Rattus norvegicus: one gene and its partner. The protein of the gene in region 1 purifies or fractionates together with the protein of each later gene. This does not show direct contact. Links are inferred from orthologs where the notes say so. Each region holds a gene or a part of one and is shown in the gene's direction. Other genes may lie near its edges.

What was found.
Region 2: the proteins of Ndufa4 (region 1) and Ndufa6 purify together in Homo sapiens (co-immunoprecipitation; 3 studies listed by BioGRID and IntAct, with this or other methods). This does not show direct contact. The link is inferred for Rattus norvegicus from reciprocal best matches to the Homo sapiens genes COXFA4 and NDUFA6.

Annotation. Positions count from the first base shown.
Region 1 is NC_086022.1:40,968,092-40,979,173, reverse strand, and holds Ndufa4 (cytochrome c oxidase subunit NDUFA4), read left to right. Parts: upstream 1-3,614; 5' UTR 3,615-3,733; coding exon 3,734-3,775; intron 3,776-4,825; coding exon 4,826-4,914; intron 4,915-5,462; coding exon 5,463-5,523; intron 5,524-10,309; coding exon 10,310-10,366; 3' UTR 10,367-10,783; downstream 10,784-11,082. UniProt on the Homo sapiens protein: Component of the cytochrome c oxidase, the last enzyme in the mitochondrial electron transport chain which drives oxidative phosphorylation.
Region 2 is NC_086025.1:115,745,611-115,755,966, reverse strand, and holds Ndufa6 (NADH dehydrogenase [ubiquinone] 1 alpha subcomplex subunit 6), read left to right. Parts: upstream 1-5,649; 5' UTR 5,650-5,667; coding exon 5,668-5,812; intron 5,813-8,542; coding exon 8,543-8,658; intron 8,659-9,269; coding exon 9,270-9,401; 3' UTR 9,402-9,507; downstream 9,508-10,356.

The DNA of each region.
Region 1 (11,082 bases):
ATTTCTGCAAGTGATGCAGAACTGAGTTACATTCCCAGTCTAATACTGTGTTTTCTAGGGTTTTTTTCTAGCATTGTTTTTGATTGATCAAAAATCTATGAATTGGGGTTGGGGATTTAGCTCAGTGGTAGAGCGCTTGCCTAGCAAGTGCAAGGCCCTGGGTTCGGTCCCCAGCTCCGAAAAAAAAAAAAAATCTATGAATTAACAACAACTTGAATTGCCATAAAACAGATACACATAAATTTCTACAGAGAACAGGGACTGGGGACTGGATACATATACTGAAGAGAATGAGGACTGTATACAGGCACTGACATGCAACAGAGTTAACATAGGGAACAGTATTTAACTGCACCATGATTTTGGCAGTGCTCCTCCTTGGTTCTGGCTTGAATCCATGTAAGGAGTTCATAAGCACAAGCACATCTATCCAATTATTTCCTCTGGAAGACTGGAGAAATGTAACATCAATTCACACCTCAAACAGTCGCAGTTTTTAAAACCCTAAGCTAAGAGTTCTTTTAGCAATATATAATCTGCTTCTCTTCTAATTGAACCCTGCGTCATTGGCCAAACCTGTAATTCTTTTTGAGACAGACAGCCCTGCTAATCACAATTACTATGACTTGAAACAAGAAAGCTTTCTTTCCTACTTTCTAAGCACATCCATCATACGTAAACAACGGCTCTTTCCAAATAGTGTTTGATCTCACACCGAAGCTGATACCACGGTTTTGAACATAACTTGATCTTGTCATGATGGGAAAAGAGAAGAGAGAGAACAGCACACACGGGAGCCAACAATTCTGTATGACAGGTGGAATTCTCACATTCCATTCCCTACTGAGGAAAGTCACCTTATCAAAGCTGATGTTACTGAGGCAGTGAGATGGCCTCTCTTTCTAACAGTAAGCAAGAGGAATTTGTAAATAACAAAGTCACACTGCAGTGTTCAATGCCCCCTCTACATTAGCTCTTCTAAACTGTCCCCTCTACTATCTCCAGCCCTACTTAGAATGCAGCTCACATATTCTTTCCTCTAACTTTAATATGCAAAATTTAAGCTTTGACAATTGGACCTGTGGTGGGTTGGTTACAGTTTAGTCAAATGTATACTGTGCAATTCTGCTTTGTTAATATTTCAACAGACTTCATCTAGCTATCATATTATTATGTCTAGGAACTAGGCCAATAATATTATTTTAAGAAGCAACAAAACAGCAAACTTCTAGACTTTACTTGCTTTTGGATTCTGGCATTCCTGTATATCTGCTTACTTTTTATTACCAATATTTAACATTCCAAATGAAATGTTCAGCAAAAGTCGTGTAATTCTTTTGCTAGCAGCCTGGCTATGCACACTACCGTTACTTCCCTTGTTCACATCTGAGTACTCTCTGATTATTAACATAACCATACTGGTTACCATAGTATTACCAAGATCGTTACTCCCTCGGTGATCTCCTTGCTTGTCTGAACCAGTCACTCATGCTTCCTTGCAGTACTCTTTCCCGCTGCTGTTCGTTATCAGACCTTGGTAAGTTCTGCTTTTCCTTCAGGTTTCACCTCAGATGATAGCCCCAGAGGCATCGTTCCTTGCCCACTTTAGCTCAAGTCATCTTCTCTCCCATGTCCTTTCTCAGTTATTTATTTTACTGGCACACCTATAACTATCTAAAGTTATCTGCATATTACCTGCTCTTCCTAGTCAACATGGTACATCTGTTAGAGCACAGTAATTTTTTCCTTCTATTCTAAATCCCTAGGAGCTGAATGTTGTGTATGGAGGTGTATGTTTGTAATGCCAACTCTTGGAAAGCTGGGGCAGGAGGATCTTGAGTCAGAGGCCAGCCAAAGCCAAAGCAAGATATGGAATAGACTAGGTGCTTAGCAAATGTTTTCTGGGAGAGAGAGAGAGAGAGAGAGAGAGAGAGAGAGAGAGAGAGAGAGAGAGAGAGAGAGAGAGAGAAAGAGAGAGAGAGAGAGAGAGAGAGAGAGAGGAGATATGAATGGATGAGTGAATGAGTGGAAGAATGAAAAAGGAAGGAAAAAAAAGGAAGGGAAGGAAAGGGAAGCACGCCATAATCTTCAAAACTTAGCACCCATGTTCCCCTCCTTGCAGGTTTTATCTAAACAAGCATGCTTGAATTCCTTAGTTTGATCCTGAGCCTTTTCTCACACTATCTCCTGGCAATTTTAGCCAGTCATACAGCTCATTTCCTAATTAATAAAATGACTCCATTTATTTCCTACTCTAGATAAGCATTCTGCTCTCTAGAAATATCGTAGGTTTTGCATAGACACTCATCCATTTCAATAATTGGCATGGGTATTTTCACAGCTGATCACCACTAAACTTCTGATATTATTATCTTTTCCTCATTCGCTCATATGTATCCAACCATTAGGTCCTGTTAGTCCCCCAAAATTTCTCTGAGATTTTTGGTGATTTTTTTCCCCAATCACCTCATTCCCTCCTTTAGGGCAACTTAAAATTCTCTCACATGGATTACTACAATAGCCCTTTTCTCTACTCTGTTCTTCAGAGCCAAATTCTTTCCAACTACACAGTCTTTTTGGTGAGCTTCCTAAAGTCCTGAACATAAAGTTCTTGTGTAAGTGGTCCCTGGCTCAGATGTGGCCCCTACTTTGCCTTCTCTATTCCGTAACTTCCACAGTAGACTGTACGTTTCTGAACTTTATGTGAATTGTCTTCCTTACACACCTCCACGTGAAGCCTGTAGTGAGCTAATGCTACCTCTTCAGTTTAGCAGTTTTGGTGAAGACACCTCCTCTTTTTAGTTTTATTACTTAAAAATCTTTAAGATAAGTAGGGAGTTGGAAAGTGTCCAAATTGTTGGCTGTGATTCCAAACTGCCCATTAAACCCTCCCCAAAGAAAGACTTTTGGGTAAAAGTGAATTTACAAAGAGATAAATGAACATTGAATCAGGGCGATAGAAAAGGATAAGTTCAGGAACACGATCAATGAAGATAAGGACGCAACATCTGGAGCAAAAAGAGATGGTGGCACGTTGCAAAACTTCAGAAACCACACTGTAAAAACTATGGCCATCTTTATGTCACTTACTAGTGTTTCAACTTCTGTCCCTAAGCGCCAGTGGAAGACAGGAAGCAGCTGCAGTCTTAAACCGCAGCCGTTGACCCCAGCGGCTGGAGACTCGACCTGTCCTGCGGGATTTGGGCGCTGCGCCTGCAGAGGCGCCTGGCAGCTCCCTCTGGGGCTCTCTGAGAGGCCCAGCGCGCGCACCGCACGCGCGCCCCCAAGCGCGTCAGCGCGCGGCCCAGGCCTAGAGGCGCCGCTAGGGAAGCCGCGCTCGCCAAGCGCACTTCCAGCCGACCGCCGGATGACCCTGATCTACACGCATGCTGTCCTGAAAATTGCCTGTCTTATCAGTCGAGACGCTCTGATTTCTGTGCAAAAATAATCCTATCAAAAATATGCATAGTGGAGAACTAAAGGATGTTTAGCTTAACAATGGGAAGAAGTGCTGGTACCAGTTAGGGCGACCGCGCGAGGGCTGAACACCCATTCAGGCACCATAGAGGACAGCCGCATCCGGGCTTTCCTACTGCAGGCTGCCCTCCCAGCCAGGGGTCCTTCAGGTAGGAGGTCCTGGGTGACTTTGGACGTCCGCTCAGCCAGGTTGCAGAAGCGGTTTAGTGTGTGTCCTAATCTTCTCTCTCGGTGTAGGTAGGCCTGTGCCGCAAACATGCTCCGCCAGATCCTCGGGCAAGCCAAGAAACATCCCAGCGTAAGTTCACGATCTTTGCCAGAGTGGGCTCTTAGCTGTGATTGCGCCTTCCCGTGTCCCCTGGGGACGTTCTCTTTTCTCTGTTTCTGAGGTTGGCCTAACCTGATAGCTCGAAGTCTCTACTGGGGGTGGGGAAGGGGTTGCCTGAAGCCGAAGGTGTCAGACATCAGGGAAAAAGGTAAACATTCTGAGTGTTGGAACACTGTGGCCACCGATCTCTCAGGTTACTTGGTCCCAAGAAGGGTGAGTGGTATATTGAGTGATTAGAATCCAAGAGAGACCAAGTTTGTTATGCTGCCTTTTTGAGGCTATTATATTCACCGGATTGCACCACCAAGCCTTCAGAAATACAAGGGGTCGTCGTCATCTTGTAATCATAACTTTGCTTGGAAAACATGACATTTCCAAAATGTGTTTAAGTTTTCTTGACATGTCACTTTGGTTCAGTTTAGCCCAATATAGTAGGATGCTGTGTACCTAAAACTCCCTTTGACAGGCCTTAAACCTTGCCTTCAGCCTGGTTAGCAAAATTAACAGCAGTCAGTTTTCAGAGTTCATTCCTAAAACCAGTGCTTTTAATAAACATTTCTGTCAGCTAATTACACTTATGTCACAGAGGTTATGTTCACAGAACTTTTCAGGGCCACTTTTCAGTAGTTTTCAAAGGGGCTCCCCTCCTTCCAGCCTTCTGGGAAAGTATTTCCCATTACTTCCAGGGAAGCACTGAAATTTAATGGGAGTGTTGTTCGAAGTGTTACAAAGGTGAATGTACTTGATAGGATTATTTGTCGATATGATTTACTCCATGGATCCACGTAAGGAAGTTGGACTCTTAAGCCAAAACCATCCTAGCATCTTTTTACAAAGACTGTGCCTTTAGAATACAGTTGAAAGAAACACTGCTTCATGAGTTCAACCTTTATTCCATTGTAGGACGTTAGTGAAATAGCAGATTTGGAGGTTACCGTGGAGGAAGAAAGCAGTATGTTCTTATTTGGACAAGATCAAGGAATGTGATGATGGCTACTCTGTTTGTCTATTTGTTTCTAGTTGATCCCTCTCTTCGTGTTTATTGGAGCAGGGGGTACTGGAGCAGCACTGTATGTGATGCGCTTGGCATTGTTCAATCCAGATGTCAGGTGAGTGTAAGGCTTAATACTTGGATGGTTAAGAGTCTGGGCTGGGGACCACGGTCCCGGGAGAGGTAATGGAGTAGAAACAACTACAGCTTTTAGCTCTCAAGTCAGCCCAGGGCTTCTTCTGCTGCTGACATTTACTTTGCTGGCTTCCTGAACTTACCTCATCTCCCCAAGTTTTAGATTCCTATTGGTAGAGTAGAATTGCTAATACCAACTCTTACATTTTGAAGGTTGGGTTTTTTGGTTTGTTTGCTTGCTTGCTTTTGTTATTGCTGTTGCTTTGAGACAGCCTCACAATGTACATCTGGCTGTGCTGGAACTCACTCTGTAAATCAGGTTGGCCTTGCTAGTGCTGGAATTAAAGGCGTGCACTACCATGCCTGGCAACCATTGTTTTTTATGAAATACTTAACTGTGATTACTGTTGTTGTATGTAAATGTAACCTAAGTGAAACCTCAAAAAACTAGTTTCTAACAAAGCATTTTTAACACACTATTGTAAGCAGTGTTTTATTCCTGTAATAATTATAATGTTTTATCCATTTTAGCTGGGACAGGAAGAATAACCCAGAGCCTTGGAACAAACTGGGTCCCAATGAACAATATAAGGTAAGGTAGAAAACTGCTAAAAGTTGCTGGAAAGTGTATTGTAATAGACGTGGCTTTGTGGTAGTTTTCTTGAAATGGGGTATGCAGGTAAAAATCCCATTATCATTGTAATGAACTTTGAAAAGCCCTGCCCCTTGACTTAGCTGGGACTGATGATTTGCCTTTCATAAAGGTTCAGATGCTGCTGCTATTGACGTATGGGCGACCCTGGTCTCCCTGGTGATTTGCTCAGCTGCTGCTTCTTGGTATGATTCAAACATTTTAGGTGAAGATTAGTAGGAAGAAATGAAAGTCAGTTGAAATTAAATTTTGCCATGAGCCTCGTAGATAAACTTGAACATCTTCCCAGAGGAGTGTTCTCTGTAGCTATTTTTTGAAAGAACGTGTTCATTCACCGAGACAATAGTTTCACAATTGAAGCCTTTCTTATGTGTAATGTTTTCACATGGTAGACCCTCACATGTATTCGGGTATATGTTGTGCAGTTTATCTATTTAAAGTGTCCCAAATGTTTTCTGTTACATCTGACGGTTTCTGGGCACCCAGTAATTTGCCTTAGCACTCAGGGAGAGACACAGTGAGCCTTCTCTGACTGACACCTGAGGAAAGTCTATGGTAGAGATAGGTGCCCTGTAGTACTGTTCATTGCAACTTTTAAGATTTTATTCTCTATTTGCTTAAAGCTTTGTGCTTAACTCAACTATAATTTGGCTTTTAAGTATTTAAGCTTCTGTCTTCTAAAGATACAACTGGAAATTTACTAGCTACACCGAAACAGGCTGTCTGATATGTATTTTTAACAATGTGCTCAAGAAACAGTAAGCAGGTATTCTCCTTTGTGATTTTGTCGTAGAACTTTATGTAGCAGTTATTTGGGGAAGGGGTGTGTCTGCATCTAAGAAATGTTTTTAAGAAAGGAGAAAAAAGAACTAGAATTTGGATGTTTGACCAAAGAACATATTGGAGTAGTATATAAATGGTTTCCAGGAAATGTACCAGATGATTAGAATGGTTATACCTGTTGCCAGTGCCTTGGAAAATGATGGCACAGGGTGATGTGAGGCCATGTGAACTGGAGGTGGGATGTTGTTGCATTAAAACCCTATTTTAGAGCTGGCTGGCGATGGCAGCACACACCTTTAATCCCATCACTTGGGAGGCAGAGGCAGGCAGATCTCTGAATTCTAGGCCAGCCTGGTCTATACAAAGATGTCCTGTCTCAGACCCAAATGTTTGCTGCATAGCCTGACCCTTAGTCCCTGTAGCTAATAACAGGCAGACATTGAAAAAAAGTTGCCATATTGAAATACAAATGAGGAAAACTAAATCTAGAAATTTGAAAGCCTGGAATGAATGAAGACTACTTATTTTTGCTTCTATGCCCAAGCAGTGAGGTAAACTAGGTGTTATTGTTAATTTTTCTGTGACCTAAGAGAATTTTTTTAGGACAGGGTTTATGTAGCCTTGGATGTCTTAAGAACTCATTCTGTAGACCAGGCTGGCCTTGAACTCAGAAATCTGCCTGCCCCTTAATCCCAAATGCTGGATCTAAAGACTCCTGCCTTCACCTAAAAGAATTCAAAGGAATTTTCCTTATCCTGCCCATAGACATCAGATTTAGCCATGTCCTTTTTTTTACGACAGACATGAGGTGAAAATATGATGTTTACCACTCTTGACTATTTGGGTTTTTGATTCATTCTTTCCATTTCTCTTGAGAACAAAAGTGATATATAAGGGTTTCTCATCAGACTTAAGATTAGACAGAAGTGAATGTGGAGTACTTAATCTAAAAACAACAACGTAAATAAAAACGAAAGGTGATAAGGCAATAAGATTTGAGGTGGCTATGATAAAAAGTCTCATAGATAGGGAAGTTTAGGCAACAGAAGTTTGTCAGTTGTGGAGCTGGGACGTATAAGATCTATGCTTTTACAGAAGGAAAAGAGACTATCTGTCTTGTTTTTCTTTTATAAAGAAAACATTCTGGTTGTGATGACTGTGCCCTCACAACCTAATTACCTTCCAGATGCTCAGTTAATCCCATTGGGGGCTAAAATTTGAACAGACATTTCAAGAAGACATGAATATTCAGTTCATAAAGGAGGTTATTGTTTCCCCAAAGCAAAAGTGAATATAACAACAGGAGATTAGGCAAAGATGGGATTTAAGGATTAGGGGTCTGGAGATAACATCAATGAAAGAAATGCTCAAAAACCCGGATTAAATATATCCATCTAGGATGCTTTCGAGGTAACCACTGTTAAGAAAAACAGCAAACAGCAGAGATGTGGACTTAAAGAAATAAAGGAAACTTCAAAATTACTTGCACAGAGAAATTTAAGTGCACAGCCATACATCAAAAGCCTATTAGCTTTTGCGGGGGTGGTGGGGAACACTCTGTTAAGGCAAGATCCTTCTACATAGCCCTGGCTGTCCGCTGGAACTTAGTGCGTTGGCCAGGCAGATCTTGAATTCACAGATACCTGCCTGCCTCTTTGCCTTGTCTCCAAAGTACCGGGATTAAAGGCATGCACCATCATGTCTGGCAAAACAGTTGGTTTAAGGAAGTAGCCTTGGCTGTCTTGGAACTTGATATATATTTTAGGCTGATCTTGAATTCACAGAGATCCACCTATCTCAGGAATGCTGGGTTTAAAGGTATACACTACCAGCATCACCACACCTGACTGTAGTTTTGTTTTTAAAGATTTTTATTATTTGAATACATATATATTGGTGCACCTAAGTGTAGGTGCCTACCGAAACTGTGGGTGTCAGTCTGTGAGCTGAAGTTACCAAGGTAATTGTGAACCAACCCACATAGGTGTTGGGAACTGAACTGTGGATGATCCTTTAAGAGCCATCTCCAGCCTATAAGTTTAGTCAGCTTTAAGTAAATTATACTTTGATATTCAGTTGGATTTTTATAAAGCAGCGAGGATTGTGAAGGAAATGTAAAGGAATGTGGTGATTAAGATAAACAGACGAGCTATTTGCTGTTGCCATCCACTAGGTGTTTATTTTCTTCATGATATATATTATACCTGCATATAATATGTGAATTAGAGATTACTATTCTGTTGCCTAAGTAAACTGATTCTTAAGACACAGCAAAGACTATTAACGGTTTACTTAAGATGTCCTGTCCCACAAAACCCTAGGTCTGTGTGTATGTACCTAACAAAGACATGGCAATATGCTTTCAAATTTCGAGATTTTCCTTTTTTAAAAATCAAGTAACGGGAAGGGGGAGTTGAACTAGTAAAGTACCAACCTAGCACATAGAAAAGCCTATGTTCAGTCCCCGGTACCTTTAAAACTGAGTGTAGTGGCTTTCAGTCCAGTACTTGGGAGGAGGAGATGGAAAACCTCAGGTCTTAAGATCCTCCTCAGACGTACCATGAGGCCGCCTTAGGCTGTGTGAGAAGCGTGTGTTTGAAGCAAAAGGGGTTTGAAGAAATGTTTGGAAACAGATTTTTGTGAGCCACTTGTTTGTATGTTTTGTTTACAATGAGAAGGAATGAATTTAGGCCCTCACATAGGTTAAGCTACTCCTGTGCCTTTGAACTTTGACAACAGCTCTAAAGTTTTCTCTTAATACAAACTGTCTTAGTCACTCTTACATTGTTGTGAGGAGACACCGTCACCAAAGCACTGCATATAAAAGAGAACATCTAATTGGGGGCTTGCTTACAGTTTCAGAGCCTTAGTCCATTACATCTTAGCAAGGATGTTGTGGCATTGTTGCAGGCAAGTGTGATGCTGGAGAATATACATGGAGCTACAACCTGATCTTCAAGCAGAGAAAGAACTTGCCTGGTGGGGGCCTTTGAAACCTCAGAACCCACCTCTAGTGACTCACTTCCTCTAGCAAGGCCACACCTAATCCTTTAATCCTATCAGAAGTGTCTCCATGGTAACTAAGCATTCAAATATCTGACCCTATGGAGATCGTTCTTATTCAATACAGCATACAAACTCTGGAGAAAATGCATGATGACTTTTGTAGATAAGTCATGTAATCACTAAGGAATTAAAACATTATCTCCTCAATTTCTTTTAGCACAAGAATGAGTAAAACTAAGATTATAATCTTTTTTCCAGTAGAAATTCCAGACCAGTTTCAAATATTTCATTTTTAAAAACTCACTAGTAGTTAGACATTGTTCGCATTATCACAGTAAAATTATTTCTAAAATGAATTTCAATTGACTAATAGGATATATTTCAAATTTTAAGGTGTATAAGTGACAGATTTCATAAAAGCTATCACCAAAACTGACTGACAGAGCTCAGAATTCAGTCTCTGAGAAAAAGGCAGTTTACAGGTGAAGAGTTGCATGAGCCACAAAGCCTCCTTGTTTTACCAGCCTCCCTTTCTTTTGACTCAGAGTCTTAGACATCACACATGCAGTTCTTTAACCAAGGTGACAAGTCTGTATGCTTACATTCTGTTAGAGTTCCCTGACTATAAATAATCAAGAACTAAAAAGTTAAAGTATGCATCCAAAGGAATTAGCAATTTTTCGTTTTGTAATGGATTCTCTTAATTGGTCTAACTAGTAGAATATACTTAAGCTACAAGATTGGATGCCTAGTTTCCTCACCAAAACCATCTTGAAAGACTGCAATTTCACGTCAAGTAATTTTTGATGGATTAAGTTTACATCATTAAATATTCTTAAATTTTTTATTTCTAAAACGTTATTAAGAAAGTTGGGTCAACGAACTTCTGTGCTGTGTCTGTTCTTGGCAATCTAAAATGTAATTTTTCTTTTTTAAGTTCTATTCTGTGAACGTGGACTACAGCAAACTGAAAAAAGAAGGCCCAGACTTCTAAACTGTGAAGTTCACTGCAAAGCTGCTTACAATGAAGGTCTTTCAGAAGCCATCCGCACAATTTTCCACTTAAGCAGGAACTATGTCTCCGAATGCATGAAATCATGTTGATTTTTTTTTTTGAGTTTATTACACTGATGAATAAATCTCTGAAACTTGATATGTGTCACTATTTAATGCTGAAAATTCATATGGGATTTGATAGCTAGGATATAAGAAATAAAGTATCAGGATTTAAAGAATCTCTTGAATTTCTCTTTATACATTTGAAAGTGAGACCTATGCTGCTTTAATAAGGGTGTGTGTGTATGTGTATATAGGCCCACACTTGATAACTTCAAACTGGAAATTAAAGGGCTTCTGGGAAGAATATTCACGTCTTTGTCAAATGAACACAATAGAAAGCTCTGGATTTCTGTTACTAGCTAGAATTGAAATACAGATAACATTCTTTACCTTGACATGATCTCTATTATTTTCAGGGTTATCCATTGCACTGGTACTAGGATAAGACACTCTGAGTAGCCAAAGGATACTGAGAATTTTTATTGCCTTTGGCAGATGTTCAAAGGTTAAAAAGTAATCAATAACTTTAAAACGGGGTCTTTGAATTCTACTAAGTTGCAGAATAGTGAATGGTTCTGTGAATTGTAGCTTGGCTATTATTGACAGCTAATATCCACATGTAACTGAATAAATACAGTATCTGTCTTTCTG
Region 2 (10,356 bases), on another chromosome or scaffold:
TTGTTTATTTCATGTTCTTCCTACACTGCTCCAAAGCCTGCTTGCTCTGGACTAACAGACCATACAACCAAAACCGGAAACAGCGTACACAATCCCACACATCCCAGCTCGCGCTCTCTCTCTCTCTCTCTCTCTCTCTCTCTCTCTCTCTCTCTCTCTCTCCCCTCTCTCTCGTCTGTGTCCTTTCTGACTTGGATCCTGACTGAATCCTCTTTTACCCTCTTTACCTCCTGGTCTCTTGGTCCAGCTCTCCTCTTTCGGCTCCCCTCTCTCCTCCTGCAGCTCAGGGTCACATCCACTCTGGACTCTCCCAGATGTTCCCACCTCTGGCTATGTTTGCCCTCATACCTACAATAAACTCTTTCTCTTCCACCATACCCAGGAGCAATCATGTCCTTTCCTTTTTATTCCCCACCCCACCCCCCAAGTAACAGATTTTTAAGAAAGCACAGATTTAACACGTGGTATAAAATGTCCTTAGGTAAAACAGAAATACCAAGGCTTTAGCGTGTTTTCAGTTTTATGTACCCTTTAAAAATAATTTGGGGAGGGGTTGGGAATTTAGCTCAGTGGTAGAGCACTTGCCTAGCAAGCGCAAGGCCCTGGGTTTGGTCCCCAGCTCCGAAAAAAAATAAAAAAAATAATTTGGGGGTATGGCGGCACACACCTTTAGTCTCAGCACACAGGACACAGAGGCAGATGTGTCTTTATGAGTCAAATGCCAGCGTGGTCTGCATAGCGAGTTCCAGGCCAGCCACAGCTACAGCTGCATAGTGAGACCCTTCCACTTCCTGTCAGCAACCCACACTGAAGAGATGATTCCAGATTCCCTCTGTAAACCTTCCGCCCCACCTCTGCTCCAGGTTCTCTGTGTAGCCGAGAACAGGAGCACCATCAGGGAGCACCTTTCTCACAGGGCCTCTCTTACAGTGGCAGAAGTGACCCACTCTTCTCCAAGGCTCCTGTACCCCATTCTCTCTGGCCTTCTAATGACCTGAGCATCTGGTGATCCCTCCTCTCACCTGCTTTTCCCTCTCTTCTGGCTCAGTTCCATCCCCGCTGACACACACCACACACCCCTCCCATGGAAAACTAGACTTCTCTGGAACCTGGAGATCCTTCCCAGCTCCTACCCTTACTGCCCCACCCTGCAATGCAGTCTCCTCCAAGAATGGTCTACAGTGGGTGTTTACACTGCTCCCCCTTTCCCTCAATACACAACCCACTGCAGTGCGCTTTGAACCCATGAAGCACTTGAAGCTAATTGAAACTTAAAAGTTGTCAGTCTCAGCCCCATCCCTGATATACTCTGGTCACCATCCCAGTGTGCCAACCATCCCAGTGGCCTCCCTTGTCCATGCCATGCACTCTGGTGTCTACCTCTTCCTAAAAACACCTCTTCTGTCTGTTGATGTCTCATCTTCTAGGTTTCCTCCCACCCCTCATGTTCTTCTTCCCTGATTGGCCTAAAAGTGAGTGTTGCATCAGGTCATTCTGGGTCCACCTGTCTTCTATCTTTAGCGTATTTTCAGTTTTATGTACCCTTTAAAAAATAATTTGGGAGTATGGTAGCACACACCTTTAATCTCAGAATATATATATATATATATATATATATATATATATATTCTCAACATGTAGCCTAGGCTAGCCCAAAACTCACTATATTACCTCAAACTCCAGGTCCTTCTCTGTTCCCTTCCTCACCTAGAGTACACATTCATAGTGATTGTGAAATGCTTCCTTTGCTGACTGCCTGAATGTTGTGGGGCAGCCCACCTCCCTTGGTTTCTCAGCGAGGGGTTCTCCTATCTAAGAAGCCATTGGCAGTGCCTAGAAATTTGGTCTTATGTCTGAGACAGGTCAATGACAACATGCCTGACTGCATGGTTCTGCAGCTCACGTCTGTTGCTTCGAACCCTGGTTAGCATTTCAAAGCAGAGCTACCGCATCTTACTGAAACTGCTGCTTGCAATGTGTTCAACTCTAAGTTCTGTTAGTCAATCGTGTACCGGTGAACATATTATCAAGCTCATCCTGCAAGGAAGCTAAGAGGAGGAAAGGAAATAAGACAGGCTCTAGGTGAGAAGATAAGAGGAAGGAGAGGACAGCCAAGAAGGAAGGGATGCAGAGAGAGCAAGACTGGGTCCTAAGGGTCCTTTTTGCTGGCTTGGGTATGGGATGACAAGGATATTTACCAAGCACGCCCATCTGGATGACAGTCAGTGATCCACAGAGACTTGTGTCAGTGTCCATGCAGCCTACAAACTGGGAAGAGTGTTAACACCAGCTAAACCTGGGAGTCGGGCACACGGGCCCTCCTTTTGCAGGGAGGGTATGGCATTGTAATGGCTTTATGACAGACGACACCTCCATATCTGAGAAGGGCTTCACACCAATTGCCTCGAGGTGGTTTTAAGTGTGCCCGGTCAGAGGTAGCCTCCTCACAAGTATTCCTTTGGTTCAGTTCAATGTGATCAATGATAAGGATGCAGTAAGAAGAGTGAGTGCCACGTGAAGTCCTGAAGACAGGAAGTCACAGAGTCGTGGGAGGACTTAACACCGGGCAGCCGATCCTCTAAATCAAAAATAAGAAGAGAGCCTAGCAACATCCCAGTGTCATCCATTCACCCAGCCAGTTTGCCGAGCTCCCATGTGGGGCATGGCTGAGGGCAGAGGAAGGGCACAGACCCTGCCCCTGAAGGTACTCAGTGATATCAAGTGGGTAACAGTTATTCCTACCCCTCCAAACGTCATGAACGTGGCTGAATCACGATCATATGCCTATAGGTGGCTAAAACTCAAGAATGTCTTGGTTTATATGAAATGCCAATCAAGACGGAAAAGGCTACATTTTAGACCTTAAAACAAGTCTGAAAAAAAAACTAAATTTTAAAAATGTATCCATATGTGTGTGTCCATGTTCCTGTGCGTGTGGGGTAGGGGTTGGGCACATGCATGCAGGTGTTCAATAGGGACCAGAAAAAGTAACTGGTCGGTTGGGGATTTAACTCAGTGGTAGAGCGCTTGCCTAGGAAGCGCAAGGCCCTGGGTTCAGTCCCCAGCTCCGAAAAAAAGAAAAGAAAAAAAAATCACTCTTACCTCAAGTTTAGGGGTTGGGGATTTAGCTCAGCGGTAGAGCACTTGCCTAGCAAGCGCAAGGCCCTGGGTTCGGTCCCCAGCTCCGAAAAAAAGAAAAAAGTAACTGGTCCCCTCAGAGCTAGTTATGCTAGTTGTGAACCATCCAACATGGGTCTATACAGAAAGCTACAGGTTAACTAGGTTTCAAAAAGAAGGGGAGAGGATGAAAGAAAAAATACAAAAAGCAAAAATCATTAATAATGTGGTGGTTTGGCCCCCAATAAGTTCATGTATTTGAATGTTAGGTCCCTAGTTGATGGAACTGTTTTGGAAGGACTAGGAGGTGCGGCCTCGTTGGAGTAGGTGTGGCCTTTGTTGAAGAAAATGTGTCACTAGAGGTGACTAGAGGCCAGCCCAGTCTCTCTCAGTCTCCAGCTTTGGGATAAGATGTACGCCCTTAGTTACTGCTACAGTGACATTCCTGCCGGCCTGTTCCATGCTCTCCTCCATGCAATCTATCCTCGGTGCGAACTCACCCTCTGGACTGTCCGTAAGCCCCTGCTAAATGCTTACTTTTTAAGTTCGCTTGGTCATGGTGTATTCAGAGCCACAGGGTTGTAACTAGGACAAGTTGTGAATATGTAAACCAGTAATTATTAAATGCCGTGTGCTGAACATATCTGTGTGTATTATACTTTGACTGGAAGTACTATGTTTGTTTTCATCACCACAAAGATATCCATAATGATGGTACAATTACTATATTAAAATGTCATTCGGCAGCAATTCTCCAGCTTTATTATATAGCATAGAATATATATGTCGTAGAATATAGATATAGCACAGTCATTATATGGAGTATTATTGTACACATTTGGGTCTGTGTTTGCGCACTTGAGGGTATGTGTAAGGGCAAAGGTCAACCTCTAATGCCCTCCTTTAGGCACATGAGACGGGGCCTCTCACTGGGACCTGAAATTCCTGATTAGGCCACATGGAGTGACCCGTAGATCTAGCTATCTCCACCTCCCCTACAGACATCATTTCTAGCCTTTTATTTTAGGTGTTGTGTTTTGAAACCAGGTCCCCATGCTTGTATAACAAGCCCTCTGCTGACTAAACTAGGGTTTCCAGTGTCAGGGAGTATATACCCATCGAAATATACAAATATGGGCTGGCAGGATGGCTCCATAGGCAAAGGCACATTCTACCAAGCCTGATGACCTGAACTGACTTCTGGGACCACATGGAGAACTCTCAAGACCTGTCTTCTGACCTCTACACACGCACGCACACACGCACGCACGCACGCGCGTTTCAAAAATATTCAATGGAAAGATATCTACTATCATTTGACAGGATAATGGCTGAGTGATTCCAGACCACACCCACACCAACCAGAGTCACATGGCAAGGCCAGTGTTCATACACTCAGTCCTGTCCCTTGTCCCTTCCTCAATGTCTTCAGTCCTGGTCAACTGAGCTTTCAGGAAAAGACAGTGGCTTCTAGTCAGGGATCAGGCAAGGAAGTGATCTAATGTGACAAAGATTCTGTACTGTTCCCTGCCTGTAAAATAAGGGTTCTGTTAATACCTACACTATGAGCTTAAACCACATTAAAGACTTAGGGTTCCACTTGACATGTTGTAAGTTTCTTTTTTCTTTGCACTTGATGTCCAGTGAGAATCTTAATGAGTCATGCCAGCAAAGCCAGAGGTACCCAAATGAATGACTTAAGGATTCTTCCAGCTTCCATGGTTTAGGATGTAAATTCCTTGTCTAAAATGACGATGATTAGGCTAGATGTAATAGCACCCAGTACTAAGGAGGCTGAGGCAGGAGGATTCTGGAGTGCAAGGCCAAATGTAACCACAGGGGCTGGAGAGGCGCCTCAGCGAGTGATTAAGCATCTGTTCTTACAGAGGACCTGAATTCAATTCCCAGCTCCACAAAGTAACTCACAACCGTCGGTCCCAGGGGAATCCATCGCCTTCTTTTGGCCTCCGTAGACACCAAAACCACACGTGGTGCACAGACATACAAACAGCCAAAACATCCATACACATTTATTTACAAAATGGCAACCACAAGTTCGGTGGACACAAACCTGCAGAGGCAGAGAAATCACTGCAAGTTCTGAGGCCAACCTGGCTGGTCTACATAAGTGAGTTTAAGGTCAGCCGCAATCAGACGACAACGAAAAACAATGACAATAAGTAAACAAACAAACAATATGGAGTTTTCATTATAATCCCGGGGCTGAGAAACGGCACAAAGCTCAAGCCGGAGGCGCTTTTGCGATCTACACCAAGTCTAGAAGAAAACTGTTTCTGCGGAAAGACCGCCATCACCCGGCTGGAACAACAAACCGACCGCTGCCGGAAGCCTCGACGCTGCGCTCCCTGGTGGTTCTTCAGCGCCGCGGTCGAAGGAGCCAACCACCAATCGGTGTTTCCGCGGTAGAGCATGCGCATGGCAGAGCCCGTCCAATCGGAGAGCCCCAGTCAATCCACCGCAGAGGGCGTGGCGTCGCGTCCTGTAACGCTACGCGTGCGCGCGCTGAGAGGGCGGGGCTTCCTTAGCAAGATGGCGGCCGCGGCCAGCGGCCTGCGCCAGGCTGCTTCTGCAGCCAGTACCTCGGTGAAGCCCATTTTCAGTCGGGACCTGAAAGAGGCCAAGCGGAGGGTGCGCGAGCTCTACCGCGCTTGGTACCGGGAGGTGCCAAACACTGGTGAGAGGCAGGGGTGCATTCAGGGCCCCGGAGTCACCAGTCCAAGGTGCCGGGCTGAGGTCACCTACTAGGACAGAAATGAGCCCTGGGCTTCGGGGGAAGGGGGTCACACGGACCAAAGTGCCCCACCCCGGGACAGGGCTTCCGAGAGCCCTAGTCGCTTTGGTGGCCTTTGTTCCTATGTTTCTTACAGAGCCCCAGGGAGGAGCGAGCAGGGACTATGAGAAAGGAATTGACGCGTCCGCGGTCCCACGCTAGCCCCAGGTGTTTCTGGAACCCGACTTTACAGTTCCAGAAAATGTTCCAGATGCCCATTAGACTTTGTAACTAAAGTGGCAAAGGGCTTTAGCAGTTATCCATTACCCAGTCTGGAGAACACACTGCATCCATCACGAGAGGGAAAAGACTAGACCAAGGTCATCCAGTAGCTTCCTGGTCCCTTTGAAGCCTCCTGACAATGACCCCTCGAGTCTCCGTAACCTCGCTCACTAAATCAGCTTGCTCCAGAATTTTGAAGTCTAACACCTACTGCTGCAAAACGCTCTCCTTTTCCTTTAGGTGGCGGAGAATCTCAGTTCACCTGAGTGGTGGGTGGGAGTGTGCTCTCTTGGTTGTCTCCCTCAATGCTGCCACTGTAGTGGATTTTAAAAAGGGGTGAGTGAGAGTTCAAATGTCCTACAAATGTCGGGGACATCTTTTCTTGTTGAGTAGACATGTATTTAACTTGAACCACCACAGCTGATCTGAGGGGAAAGGCATTTTCCAATGAGTGGCAGCTCCATGACAGGCCTCAGCACTGCAGAGAGGTAGCCACACTGTCCTGAGGTTCTGACCCTTATTAGCTGTGTGACCTTGGGTAAGATTTTTCACCGGTATTTGCTCATCTGTGAAATAGCTAGAATACTGTCTTCTTCAGGGAGTTACTGTATTTAATAGGTTACTATAGTAACTGACATAAAACTTGGGGGAGGCACTGATGGGGAGAAGATTCCTCCTAGTTCTTAGAACACAGACTGGAGTGAAAAACCCACGCCAACCACAGGCCCACGATTACCTGACAGCAGTTATAACACTGCACTCTTCAGTCTCTGGGCCTGATGCTTCACAAATACTAAGGTTCTGAATGGCATGACCGGTTCTGTATCAGTTTGCATTGTCAGTTTGTCATTTTACAGTTCTTTCCTGAAATCCCTGCGTGCAGGCTGACCTTGGTGACCAGCTCTCTGAGAACTAAAGTGTTTACCATTTCTAGTCACTGAATTTGAGTATAAAACTCAAACCTGATTTAGACAACACATGATTTTTGTCTGTGTGTTTTTGTGACTTTTTGTTTTGTCTGAGACAGTGTCTCACATTGTAGCATTGGCTGGCCTGGAACTTGCTACATAAACCAGGCAGTCCTTGAACTCAAAGAGCCATCTGTTTCTGTGCTACCACCCTGGGCTTGTTTTGTTTTTGTTAGGATTTGGCCTCAATCCTTTGATCTATCAGCCTGAGTTCTCAGTACTGGGACTAAAGGCATATGCCACCATGGTTGGCTGATGGCAGTTTTATAGATCGGAGTGGACATGTCACAAGAATGGCCAAAGCACAATAAATATACTGACCTCTGTAGCCAGAATGCCTGTAAACCCTTGATGATGTCTCTGTCACCTTCCTTCCATCTAACACCTTGTAGTGCTTTTGTATCCTTAAATGTCCTCAGCAAATCTGCCAAAGGCCAGTGTCAGGGTATAAAAGTGACTAAAACCTGCTTTTCTTTCTTTTGAAACAAGACCTTGCTGTGGATCCATAGTGCCACACGGCCCAAGGCTGTAGGCTGGGTTACAGGCCTGTTACCACTGAGTCCAGTTTACAACCTAATCTCCAAAAACCCGGTCCATGTGGCACATTAAGTTTCGTCACTTGAGTCTGTGCCACTGTTTAGCCACTGACTTAATGGATTGGTGGATATTGTGACTTTTAAAATATATTCTATTACTTTTAAAATCATGTGTGTGGGGCGGGGGGAGTGCAGGTGAAAGCAAGTGTTGGCAGAGGCCAGAGGCACGTGGGGCCCTGGAGCTGGGGGTACAATGTGTTTTCAGTTGTCTGACATGGTTGCTGGGAATTGGAAAGACAGTATGTGCTCTTAACTCCAGTCTCCCCCCTTTTTAAGGGAAGTTTATTGTGTTCAGTTTCGGTCCCTTACATGGGGTTGGGGGCTCAGGGTGGTGTGGCTCATGGATCCTGGGAGGCAGCCGTGTATCTTGTTGCAGTCGTGGGTTACTGTTCCACTCTCAGTTAAGGCCTAAAGTCTGTCCTTCCCCAGGTGGTCTGGTGGTTTGAGTACAGCCTGCCCTCCCTGCGCAAACCCTTAGCAGTGCCCCTCAGCTCCCAAACTCATAGTTACAACCTACACTGCGTCATTTTACACAGACTTCAACTCTGGTGCCTTTATTTTTTTCTGGTTATTCCATATAAAAATATTCCTCAGTGACCAAGCCCTTGCCTAACATGTGCAAGGCCTAGACTCTATCCCCACCTGTTCTGCCCATACAGAAAAAGCAAGTGGCCCATTCAAGAGTTCTGAGATCCAGGCTCTGGGCGATTTAGTAAGATGTGTGTCCAGGCTGGGGGTTGGACTGTGTGGCATGAAGCCACTTGTACATGGCCAGCAGTCACCACTGACATAAGCTTCTAGAAGCATGTTTAAGAGGTCTGATTTCCACAGTCATGTTTCCTCTTTAGTGCACTTAATGCAGCTGGATATCACGGTGAAACAAGGACGGGATAAAGTCCGAGAAATGTTCATGAAGAATGCCCATGTCACCGACCCCAGAGTGGTTGACCTCCTGGTCATTAAGGTAACTGACCCTCTCTGACAGACTTAAAAGTTCTGCTGGCTTGTCCTGTGCCTCTGAGTTTTCAAGTAAATTCTGCCTTGATTAAAAGACAGCTGCTGTGTTTCCAGGTTCAACTTGGAGGCCCCTTTTTTCTTTTTAAAGCCAAGATTTCACTATGTAGTTCTGGCTGTCCTAGAATTTGCACTGTAGACCAGGCTGGTCCTGAGATCCACTGCCTCTGCCTCCCAGGTGCCAGGATTAAAGGTGGCACCACTATACCCCATTGGAGGTCTCCACTTTTGAGGTGGTCTCAGTATATAGCCTGGGCTGGAACTAGACATCCTCTTGCCTCAGCCCCCACGTAAGCTTGAGATTACTGAAGGGGAGGTCTGGGGCAGGGGAGGGGGACACTGCAGCTTTAACAACGTAAAGTAGGAAGTGGGAGTTCCTATGGGATGCCACCCTGGGACACCTGGCTCACTGTCTGCAGCCACAAGAAGGCAGAGTGGTTCTGGACATGGTAATCTACGGTCATTGGCAAGTCCATGCCAAACACAACACAGAGCTGAACTTGAGTGATGTGTTGTTCTTTTGGTGGCTGGAACTGACCACCTCTTCCTTCATGTACACAGGGAAAGATGGAGCTCCAGGAAACCATTAAAGTGTGGAAGCAGCGGACACACATTATGCGGTTCTTCCATGAAACAGAAACACCAAGGCCAAAAGATTTCTTGTCCAAGTTCTATATTGGCCATGACCCATGAGGTCACCTGATGGGAAGGTGCATGTTAATATTTAATTATCTTAGAGTACAAATAAACCCATTATTTGATGGTCGTGATAAAGTTGCACTGGTGAACCCTTTTCCTGTGGTCTCTCTTACTTCTTGCCTTGGTGTGGGGCCTTAGTGCCCATGCTGTGATTACTCCCTCTCCTGGAGAAGGTTGTTTGCTGCCGACTGAGTCAGACCCTTTTATGGGAAAGCAGGAAAGGCTATGTGGTTCTGTCCAGATCTCCCACAGTGGACAGCTGGAGGGTTGTTACTGTGCTTGTACTTATGTATGAAGCTCCCAAGACTGGGCTTCTTGGCACCAAGGCTCTGGGATCAGAGGGAACAGAGCAGCACCGTGGGGCAGCAGTAGAAATGACTGCACTTAGAATTGCCTCCTCACTGTGCAGAGTACACTGTTCAGTGCAGGCACAACTGTCCTACTACTTCTGCACATTTTTGTTTCAAACAGGATCTCATGTAGCCAAAGATAGCCTTGCGACTCCCTGTGTAACCAGGGGTGACCTTGAAGTACTCATGTTCGTGCTTCCACCTCCTTCCCTGGACAGTCCTGGATGCTGGAGGAAGGCACTCGGGGTCTCAGGGTTTAGTTACTGAGTGACCCCACGGCACCAGGGATCCCCCTTTGCCCTGAGGGCCCAATGTTACAAAATATTCTACTAAGCAGTAACAAAACTGCATGACCAGAACATGACAACTCCTCCAGGCTAAAGGCTTCAGTCAGCCTAAGTGGCTTTGAGGCAAGTCTCTGCTGGACTTATGTAGAAAGTAAAAAAATTTCAAGTTGGGGGAGGGGTGTGTAGAAAGACGGTTCAGTGATTAAGTGCACTTGCTGCTCTCGAAAAGGACCAGAGTTAGTTCCCAGCACCCACATCAAGCAATTCATAATAACCTTTAACTCCAGCTCTAGGATTTAGATTCCAAGAGCA